3 linked regions of the Danio rerio genome follow. The protein of the gene in region 2 purifies or fractionates together with the protein of the main gene of each other region. This does not show direct contact. Links are inferred from orthologs where the notes say so. Each region holds a gene or a part of one and is shown on either strand. Other genes may lie near its edges. The genes, in order: sertad4, ppp2r2d and ier5.

Region 1 (3,759 bases), on a different chromosome or scaffold from region 2:
TGCCATGAACCACCAACTTATCCAGCATATGTTTTACACAGTGGAAGCCATTCCAGATGCAGCTCAGTTCTGGGAAACACCGATACACTCTCACATTCACACTCATATACTATGGCCAATTTAGGTTTTTCAATTCACCTATACCGCATGTCTTTGGACTGTGGTGGAAATCAGAGCACCTGGGGGAAACCCATGTGAACACAGGGAGAACATGCAAGCTCCACACAGAAATGCCAACTGAACCAGTCGGAACTCGAATCATCAATTGCTTTGAAGCAAAAATGCTAACCATTGAGCCACTGTGCCACCCTAATTATAATATATGAATATATTATTATAATACATCATTGTTACTTTACTACTGTTTTATTTAATTGTTTTACCCTTGCTCAATACTTATTAAAAGTATTAATTGTGTTAATCGGAACAATGAGGAGTGTTACTCAACAACTACACAAGAACCTACTTATATAAAAGTACCTTCGATCAGATTGTGCAGCACACACCATAATTTGCTGACAGTACAGTTCTCACCACATACAGTATCTAATGTGCATCTGCAGTTTATGTTGTGGGTGTCTGAATGAGGTGAGTCACTCCAGAGTGTGATTGAAGGTTTGACAGGAAGATGATCAGTACAGGATGTGCTGTGTGTGTCCCTCCCAAACCACAGCATTCTGAAACGGCCCTTTTAGTTGAAGTTTTAGATGATTACAAGCAGCCCGCAGACTCCTCACAAGTCTCTTGAAGTAAATCCTCACCGTGCCCAGACACAAATGACTGGAACGGACTGATGAGAACCACAGGCGGTAAACGATTGCGTGGGTTTTCCTTTGTGCCTGCTGTAGATGGAGGGATCAATGCGTGGCGGTATGCCAGACACTCTTAAACTGGCACAGTGATCTCAGGGGGAATACCCACAAGCACACACACATACATACTCCTGCCCCCCGGCACCAGGAACAGATGCCACAGCCAGCGCAGTGAACCCATCACTTGATAATGAAGCAAGAAATAATCCCACTAACACACACATACCACGTACAACAGCGCCGCTCTCTTACACAACAACAATAGCCTCACACACACAAATTGTCTCCAGACTTGCACTACGCAGACACCACAGCTCAATTCTCCTGTGCAGCAGTAATTGCGCATTCATGAGGACAAATATTCACACTCTGTGTCTAACTATTAACTTATTGTGCTTTCATCTTGTACAATTCATCTCCTTGTAAGGGAATCAAGCTGTAACAGCTCCCTGCCCTTACAGCACGCACACGCACTCACAAAGAGAGAGGGAAAGAGCTTGAGTGTTTTGATGAGTGAAAGGAACGGTGTATTTGTGTGACCTTACTGACATTAGTTTCTTTAGAGATTCAAAGTGTATTTGGGCTCAGTTTAACAAACTATTAACAAATTGAGGAAATGAGAAATTAATTTAAACATAAATCTAAAAGTTGAATATGGATTTAATTTTTTTTTAGAAATGTATAGAATTTAGTAAATAAAAATATTTAAAAGATTCATTTACAATACAATGCAAAATTAAACAAAAAAATATTAAAATGTTCTAAAGAGACCAGATTAAATAAACATTTGATAAATAATGAAAATAAAATATGAATATATAAACAATAACATGATTTTCTGACTTAAAAACATTTATTTGCAGGACCCTTTAATACAACTCACCAGTAAATGAACTTTAATTGAAATGTGACAAAGATACTATCGTGTTTTTTAATATTATGAAAAATGAAATATATAGCATTTTAATTATTCATTATTTTATTTATAAATAATAAAAACAGACATCATGACCTTTAAACAAACTACTTTAAAAAAAATAATCACACATTGTGACTTCAGGATGTAATGCACTGACCTCACCTTGTGCATTTTTTATAGCACATATGCCAATTTCATCTGTAAAACTTGCAGTGAAATGCAGTAATCTGTGTGTACCCTTGTGGCTGAACCCTTAAAAGATCATACGAGTATAGTTGCTCAGTGTTGGCACGGTGCCATGTCTGTCTGCCTCAGGAGGCTGCTGGCGTGTAACTCATTCTGATATTCGTCTGAGTAATGTTTTATTATTCTTGCTTACCTTTACCACACGAGTTGACTAAATCAGAGATGTGATGTTTATATCTGAAGCGCAATCAGTCGTGTCGCTCTCTGTTTTCCCTCTCGTTCCGCTCCTGTGGTCCCGCTGGCTTCATCAATAACTACTTATCCACGATCCATCAGCGCGAGCCTCGCCGACTTGCAGAAATCGATAGGGTTTCGACGGGGAAAGTATCATCCAAAGACGAGCAGTCAGTCAGTCACAGTGTGAACAAAGCCGCTGTGATGTGACGGAATCTCGGCTGCGTGTCCGCGCAGGTCGCGTCGCTTTGTGCCTCAGTGACCTCACCGGCAGACGGTGCAACGTCGCAGCGTTTCCTTTCAACGGGAGTCGTTAACGTCAATGGACACGAGCAGCGTCGCCCCATTCCTTGAAACAAACAGAAAACAGCTTTTTGCTCCGGATCAGTCTCGTCCCAGCAGCAGTGCCTCCTCGGCGGTTTGCGTGTGTGTTTGTGTGCGCGTCTGGTTTTGGTCAGAGCAGAAGAGCTGCGTTTAACTTGCACCGGGAGCGCGCAGGAGAAGTGGAGCGGGCGGGCACGAGGCCAATCATCTGTTAGACATTTCCCTTTTCAGGAGCGCTTTTCTCTGGTCTTCCCTATAGAAGAGGTGGAGTGAGTGGGTTTTGGCTCTCTGGCTGCAGTTCAGGTCCCGCCATAACCCCCTGTTCTGTCACGCGCACCTATAACGTTACAGTAAAGACCCATAGACTTGTGTTTTTCTTTTGCTAAACGCACCCGTTAGAAACTCAATGTGGGTGGCATGTGGGATTCTTGCATTTAATTTAATGTTATTTATAAATGATGCACTGTATTATTTTAGTTATTTATTTGTACTTTTATTTAATAATGTATTATTAAATAACTAACTGATATTAATTACAAGTCTGTTTAGCAAGTTTTACTATATATTTGCTTGCTGTATGTCTAGTTTTTATTATTTTTAACAGTTTTGAGGACAATTTCAGATATCATTAGTATAGTGAAACAAATGCTGAACAATTAGCATAACAACCCCAAAACTAAAACCAACCCACAAAATGACCTAAACAGGCTCAACTCAGCGTTTTTAGTGTGTAGTTTAGACACGTGAGATTACAAGTGACACAATGTAATTTAATTATTGTTGTTATCCTATTAAAATGTATATTTATATTTGTATGTGCATCTTTTATTGTGATATAAAAACACTTACTGTTTTAAAAAAAGTTTAGAATTCAACTAAATATTTAGTTAATTTTATGGTACATTTTATTTGGCAGATTTTCTGAATATATTTTTTAGCTTCACCTTATTTTTAAGGACATTTTTAGCAACGCATCCTCACAAGAACAAGCGTGCACAGACACACACAGAGACAAAGGCTTTTTTCTTGCTCAGTTTTCCTCTGACTTCAGGTTCCAAAAAACACACCCTGTTTCTAGTTAAAAGCAGACATTCACTTCTGTGCCAGAGTCCGTCATTTATTTTCTTGTGTGAAAAGCAGCCCTGTGTTGAAATAGTTTTCCAGGTGACTGGGGGCTTCACAGAGAAACTGCATCTTTGAAATAAATGGAAACCATGCATTGTGGTCTGCTGTACCAGCACTTTAAAACTCTTTTTCTCTGTCTCTTTACTATTTAGGAAATGG
Region 2 (3,759 bases):
CTTTTTAGCTGATCCGAAAAATGGTCCAATGACTAAAAAAACGTAATGTGATCCGTACCGTGAGATTTGTGATCCGTTACACCACTAGTTGACATGAAGTAATTGTGTTGATCCAACTACCTGTTTAAGGCATTTGTAGTTCCCAGCATGTTTTGCATGGGAATATCTAACTGAGAGAAATGTTGACAATAAAAGTAATCTTTTGCGAGTTCAGACAGCACGATTTTCAAAGTAGTCGCATCACAGATGTTTTCACACTGCATGACTATCTGGGGTAGCATTGGTATGTTAGGTCTCTCAGGAGCATTTGGGCTGAACCTTTTGACGGTGTCTACCGAAACGAGGATGTTATAAATAGGGCTGGCCGATATTGCAAAAAAAAAGTTATCAAGATATCATGGTTCAAATCATTTCGGTATCGATAACTATTAAACATTTTTAACAATACATTTAGGAATATTAGAATTTTTTTAACCACTTTATTTTAATTTACCAACATTACTAACGCAAATAGTTTAAATAGTCAAAAACAAAAATATTAAATAAATATCTGATCTTTTTATAATAAACATTAGTGTTAAAGAGACTCTTAAACTTGATAAATAAATGTTACTAAGTGTGTGCAATGGTACAGGTAGATGAAAATCTGTAAGGTGTAAATAATAATGATACATTAAACCTCAATCTGAGCTTTCAAGTAAAGAAGCAAGCCATCAATATCTAAATACATGCTGAACATTACAAATTGCAAAGTTGAATGACCCACTATGCTTAAACATCTTTCAGATAGGAAGCTGGTGGATGGGATGTACAATAAAAGATGCCAAAAAGCCACTCTGAATATACCAAACAAAATCGAAATATCCAAAACTTTAAAGGATTAAGATGCTGATGACCATCAAACATGTCATGATCGGCTCATAGAAAAGGATCCATTCAGTTTTTATAATATTATCTCTATGAAACAATTAATTGTAATACATTTGATAAATCGTAGCAATTTTTGATCGAGTTATTCTTTTTTTTTCTTCAATAAGCTTTTATTTTGGATTCACACAATCATGCACTTTATTACTTACGCATGCATCTGTGCAATACGAAGGATCATTCGATTTACTTTAATCTATTTAATCTACTACATTTTAGTCATTCAGTAGTTAATGTTCATATAATCAATCATAATTATTTTGACACGCTCTCATTTGAGAGAATTTGACTGGACTACTCCTTTGAGAGCATCATGAGTCATCAGCCCTTTTTATAAATACCTAAAATAAAGATTCACTTTATTTTAAACTGAACTATTATTTGATATAGCACTTTTACGCATCGTATGCGGTGGGGAAAGATCAATAATAGCTCATAAATGTGCAGTTTTATGACAGTGACTTTCCAAATCTACATTACTCCTGACACTGTTTGATTTAGTTATTCAGATTTTAGGTTTTAAGACCACATGCAGTCGATAACATGAAAGCCAAAAACATTTTACAGTACAACGATGCAAGTTTCAAGCTCAAGAAGATCAGTTAAACGTCTTCAACCCATATACTACTTGAATAATAAATAAAAAAACCCCGCAGAAACACTTTCTGATAAAAACAATTGCCATTTTCATGGAAGCTCTCAGCCTCCATCTCTTCACATCATACCCCACAATGCATGCTTTTCCATCCAAAACTCCCATAATGCACTAATCACTCATGCAAACTCACACAGGTACGTTTAAACCCCAAATGTACCCCGTTATTTACCTTCTGCAACATCTTCATCTATGGCTCCTTTGACCTGGGAGAAGCACCACTGGAAATCATTGCCTCCACCAACCCCTGCAAAAACACAACAACACCAGTGCATTTAAATGCATGCTCTTCTCGGCCTGCAACGAGCATTTAAACACCCTGAGGTCGAGCCCTGCCCCGCGCGAGATACAGCAGTGGCTGTGGGTTTGATTTGGTGTCAGTTAAGGGGGCTGGTTTGATGTTTAGGCCGCACTGCTGCCGCTCGCGCCCCCGCCTACCAACACAAACCCCCGCGCGGCGCCTTTACCTGCCATCATCGCCTGTTTCTGTGCCTCGAGCCTTCAGTGCGGCTTATCCTGGAGCTCCGGAGGCCGGACGGTGCGATCGAGTGCGGAATGAGAGCGAGTGGAGGCGCGCGGGATCGGCGCGAGCGGGATCTGCCCGTGATTTGGTTTCGATTCAAGATGGCGCACACTGTCCGTCGACATGACACAGTGACGTCATTTAATCAAGCGCGCCCTGCGCTCGGCGCGTCCTCGCTGCGCTCAGGTTTACGCAGACAGCGTGGGAGTTACGCAAACACCAAACGCCCTTGATTGTCATACAGTGCATCCCTAATATAACACTCTAGAAAATAACTCAAGAGGTCTGTTACCACTACATAGTTTAATACACTATTGTAGCTTAAAAATTCTAATATGCTGATTAGATTAAAACTTTTGAGTAGCCAGAATAACTTTATTAAGTTTTCAAAACAAATAAACATTGATAATTACATCAATTTAAAAATGCGGCTAATTGAAAGATAAATATATCTGTCAGTTACTTTAAAACAATATTTAACTTAAAGCAACCCTACGAAATTGGGTTGATAACTCAATTTTTACACACTAATGGAGTTGTTTTGTATTTTTAAGTCCACACACTGATGTTTTTTGTTATTTTTGTACTGATAATATGGGACAGAACATGTTTTTGTTTTGTAAAAAAAAAAAGGAAAAAAAGGAAACCTGTGGTTTAATACAAATAAAAAAATACCAGTTAACAAAAACATTGCTGTTAAATGTATTTCTTACAAGCATGAACAGTAAATTCGAAAACAAACAAAAAACTCAACAATTTCAGCTACTTAATTTATTTGAGGTTCTAAACTTGAAAACATGCATGTAATTAAGTACATAACACTGGATTTGTTTCCAATTTTAATTTAAAAAAACTTATTTTGAGTACTCAACTTAAAAATCTGAGTTTTTTGCTATGTGAAAATGCCTCTGATTGAGGAGGAAAAGATTTGGCTAACATAATAAAGTTTGTTGTCTGAACCTTATTTTGTTAGATGTTGTTGTAACTTGAATATAGTAATGCAAACTGGTGCGTTAATTAATTTTTTTTGTTTTGTTTTGTCTAAACAATATTTTTAGAGTGTAGTTGAAATTCAATGTTTAAACTTACAAAATTAAAAATTTAGTTTTCTTGTAAAGATGTGTTTTTTGATTTACAACAATAATAAAACTTGGAGCAAAATTTATTTATTAATTTAATAATAATATATGGGAAGTACCATATACACAAACAAAAATGGTCCAATGATAAGTCTAATATTCATTTGTTTAAAATTAATCTTGAGCATTATATTGGAACCCCAAAAGAAAGAAAAAAAAGCTATAAGAATGTATGCAATTTTGGAATCATTTTCTTATACTTTTTTTTTTGCAACGTCTATATCCCTTGTAATTTTATTTTTATTTGTATTAATTTTTTTCTTTTTTCTAATGATTTGTTCCTTTAAAGTGAAATATTTACATATTACATATAAAATGTAAACATTGTATTGCTCATTTTTTGTATGCTATTGTTCTTGTTATGCAATTAAAAAAAAAATCAAATTCAAAAAATAAAATTCAATTTTTTATTCCCAATTATTGGTTTAATAAAATTGACGGTCTCCCATTAATTTTGAAATGTAATTTTGCTCCGAATAAACTCCTCATAAAATTAACTAACTTTTACCAGCAAA
Region 3 (3,218 bases), on a different chromosome or scaffold from region 2:
TTAGATTATCTGTTAGATCTGCAGGTGATGGATACAAAATTATATTAAGCTTTGTTCAGTGGGAACCTGGAGTAGGGCTGGGCGATATGGCAAAAATGTAATCTTGACAATTATTTTCCATATTTAACGATAACGAGATATATATTTTGATAGAAGTTGGTAATACTTGCAGATTTAAAACAATGACAGAAGCCACAACAATTAGAAGGTCCAAATTGCATAACATTTTCGTCCGATAAATATTCGGTGGCCAAAAATTTGGTACATCTCAATTTTAGATTCCCATTGTAGGACGTTTCTGCTGTGTGATTGGCTCTTAGATCAATATAGAGTAAAAAAGTCCAGAGTTTATCGGTTACTGATGTAAATTTTATCACGATTTGATATATCATCAATTATCGGCCTACCCCTAAGCTGGAATTTTTTTATATTTAAATATAAATTAAAAGCTGACATCATTACATTAGTTTTGAATATTCATGAACATAAAGGACAGAAACAATATGGTAATTTCACATTTTTTTAATACGTGAGCTCCACGTAAATTGTCATGATACCAAAATACATAGATTCAGAATGCGACATTGGCGACAATATATACACACACTCGGATATTACAAAATGTACAGGTCTTTATAAAACAAAGACGTTAAAAACAGTGGCCTGACCCTCGTACAGTCAAGTTGATCGACCCTGAATTGTTTCAGCGACAATGTAATATTGACCCTTCATGACACGTTTGCATATTGTTGTAATACCATTCGCTCACATGGCTTTTGAGAGTTCAACACTTCAAGAACTGTTAATCCCAAAGAGTAGCACCAGCATTCAAATAGTTCCTTCACTAGAAGAAAGGCAAGTCCAGGCCAAAACGAGCTTGTGCTTCTGGTGGCACCACCACGCATGCTTTCTGGGAAGTCCCCCATAGTACGTTGTTGAAGCCCAGGCCTGACCACGTGTTATGAGAAGTACAGTACGATACAGTTAGAAAGCTACAATTGCTGTACTCCATGGGTTTAGGTTTTTCAACATTTGGTCGCAGCAGATTTGACCGCTTTCCTCTGCCTCGGCCTCAGGTTTGGTGCCATCTTTGCTGAGAAGTCCTGAGAAACTGGAACCAAATATTGTTATGAGGTTGGAGACGTTCCCCGTGTCCATCTCCTCGGCTTCTTCCTCGTCTTCCTTCGTGTTTGAGGAAGCAACTTTGGTCCTTTTTTGAGGCGCATCGCCACTTTCTGACTCCTCTGCGCTTCTTTTCCTGTTTGAAGAACAAACATGCGTTTTGGGTGGTTGATGTGATTCCCCGTTCACCACCACAGGCGTTGAGTCGCGTTCCGCTACTGTAGTGTCTGAGGGACTCTCCGTAGTGGTTTCCGTTGAAACCGAGTCTAAAGAAGAGTTTTGGTTGCTTTCTTGCTCAGAAGTGGAAGTACAATCCACTCGTTCTGATTTCTCAGCGTCGTTTTCGCGATATTCCCGCTCTTTCTCGCTCGCCTCGGGCTGTTCGGTGAGTTGAGGTTCCTCAGGGCTCTCTACTCGGTCACATTCCGTTGTAGAGGGAGGGAATTTCTCCCGCTCGGAGTCGGTGATGTCCCACTCGTTCCCTTCGCGTTCACTCTGAGCGTTCAGGCACGCGCCGCTGTAGTAGTCACTCAGATAGACCTGGCGCGCGCTTCGGAGGACCAGTGAAACCAGTAGGTTTTTATGCAGTTTAATGCCGCCTCGCTGAACGCGTGAGTTGTAGATCTTCCCTAAGGAGATACTCATAATCCGATGGGCCTCCACTTTGTATTCCATAGCTGGAATCGATACGTTTAAAGTTCACAAACGGTGCAAAGTTCGCCGGGCGTTTCGCCTTTGATTTCCTCTCTCTTCAAAACGTTAACGCGAAAGCCGTTAGTAAACAACAACGTCCAAGTGCTTTTCCGTTCCTCCTGTAGATCAAATCCCGTGTTTTGTTGGCTTCATTCTCATATACAAAATACAAGATCTTGTTATTGGGTGAGTGTAGGAGATTTTATTACCTCACACATTCTCTTCAGCACCCAACAATGGTCTAGGGAGGAATGAGACCGTTTCTATTTTTAACTCGCATTTATACTCCGGCGTCAGCGGCTACACTAGCCAATCGCGTTGCGAGTTGCGCTCTGCCACAGTTGTGAATCACACCCCGCCAAACAGGCGATAGCCAATGAAAGGGCGCTTCAGCTATGAGTCATATTTAAATACTAACGTGGGAGAACTGCTTAAAGGGAAAGAATTGTTTTCAAGCTAAAATAGACGGATATTTTTATATTTCTCAGTGTTTTTCAGGCTGTATTTGTTTAGAAAGTTAAAAATAAACTATATTTGAAACACAACACCGTTTTCACAAGTAAACAGAAGCTAAAACAAGCCAAATGTGACCCTATACACGTATACCAAAACATGATTTACATTTAACGTTGTTTTCCAGAATTATCCCTTTATGTAATATGTTTTGTTTCAAAATATTAACATTTCAGATATATCCATCGCTACATAATAACCATCACACGGTTTCCGCATAGTGTATCGTTGTGTTTTCTGGTAAAAGGGAAAGAAGGCTACTTCCCCTTTAATTTTTTTCAACTGACTTCCTCGACTGATGTAATGGTTTGTCTGCTACAGTCGTGTCACATGACTCTATTGTGCAAATCCACTGCGGTGTCTGGGCAAATGTGAATGGAGCTGCCCGTGGGGGGAAGGGCAATGTTTTGTTTGAAGAAACAGTTAGCAGCTACTCACGAACAGTGTGGGAGATTTTACCCTCAATTGAAGATTAAGATCACGTCGATGCTTTCGTTTTGCGTGTGTATGTCTGGTTCTTAAATGAATAATCCGTGCGTGTTGGTTTGTGAGTCTGCCTGCATTAAGATGTGGGTCATAAACAAACCTGACAGGAAGAGCAGGCTGTGACGTAAGACTGTTTATCTATATATAAACGATTACAGCCATGACTACCGCACAATTTATTCTGCAATGCTTTGTTTGAAGTAGCTCACACAGATAAATGAAAATGAAAGCATTATTATTTACTATCAGTCATAAATCAGCACCCTGTTGTTGTGTTAAGCTCCTGTTTTTAAAGGGGCGATTAAATTGTTGTTCATTAAAAAAAACAACGTCCATATAGACCATTTTGAGGGATGTAAACAAAAACAATTGTCCCAATGTATTTTCTGTTTCACATATTTATT

What was found.
Region 1: the proteins of ppp2r2d (region 2) and sertad4 purify together in Homo sapiens (affinity purification with mass spectrometry; 3 studies listed by BioGRID and IntAct, counting the BioPlex papers as one, with this or other methods). This does not show direct contact. The link is inferred for Danio rerio from reciprocal best matches to the Homo sapiens genes PPP2R2D and SERTAD4.
Region 3: the proteins of ppp2r2d (region 2) and ier5 purify together in Homo sapiens (affinity purification with mass spectrometry; 3 studies listed by BioGRID and IntAct, counting the BioPlex papers as one, with this or other methods). This does not show direct contact. The link is inferred for Danio rerio from reciprocal best matches to the Homo sapiens genes PPP2R2D and IER5.

What each region holds. Positions count from the first base shown.
Region 1 is NC_133188.1:35,234,733-35,238,491, forward strand, and holds the start of sertad4 (SERTA domain-containing protein 4), read right to left. Parts: upstream 2,598-3,759; 5' UTR 2,111-2,597; intron 1-2,110.
Region 2 is NC_133187.1:43,833,756-43,837,514, forward strand, and holds the start of ppp2r2d (serine/threonine-protein phosphatase 2A 55 kDa regulatory subunit B delta isoform), read right to left. Parts: upstream 2,208-3,759; 5' UTR 2,057-2,207; coding exon 2,050-2,056; intron 1,830-2,049; coding exon 1,755-1,829; intron 1-1,754. UniProt on the Homo sapiens protein: Substrate-recognition subunit of protein phosphatase 2A (PP2A) that plays a key role in cell cycle by controlling mitosis entry and exit. Involved in chromosome clustering during late mitosis by mediating dephosphorylation of MKI67.
Region 3 is NC_133197.1:16,200,835-16,204,052, reverse strand, and holds ier5 (immediate early response gene 5 protein), read right to left. Parts: upstream 1,992-3,218; 5' UTR 1,798-1,991; coding exon 985-1,797; 3' UTR 508-984; downstream 1-507. UniProt on the Homo sapiens protein: Plays a role as a transcription factor. Mediates positive transcriptional regulation of several chaperone genes during the heat shock response in a HSF1-dependent manner. Mediates negative transcriptional regulation of CDC25B expression.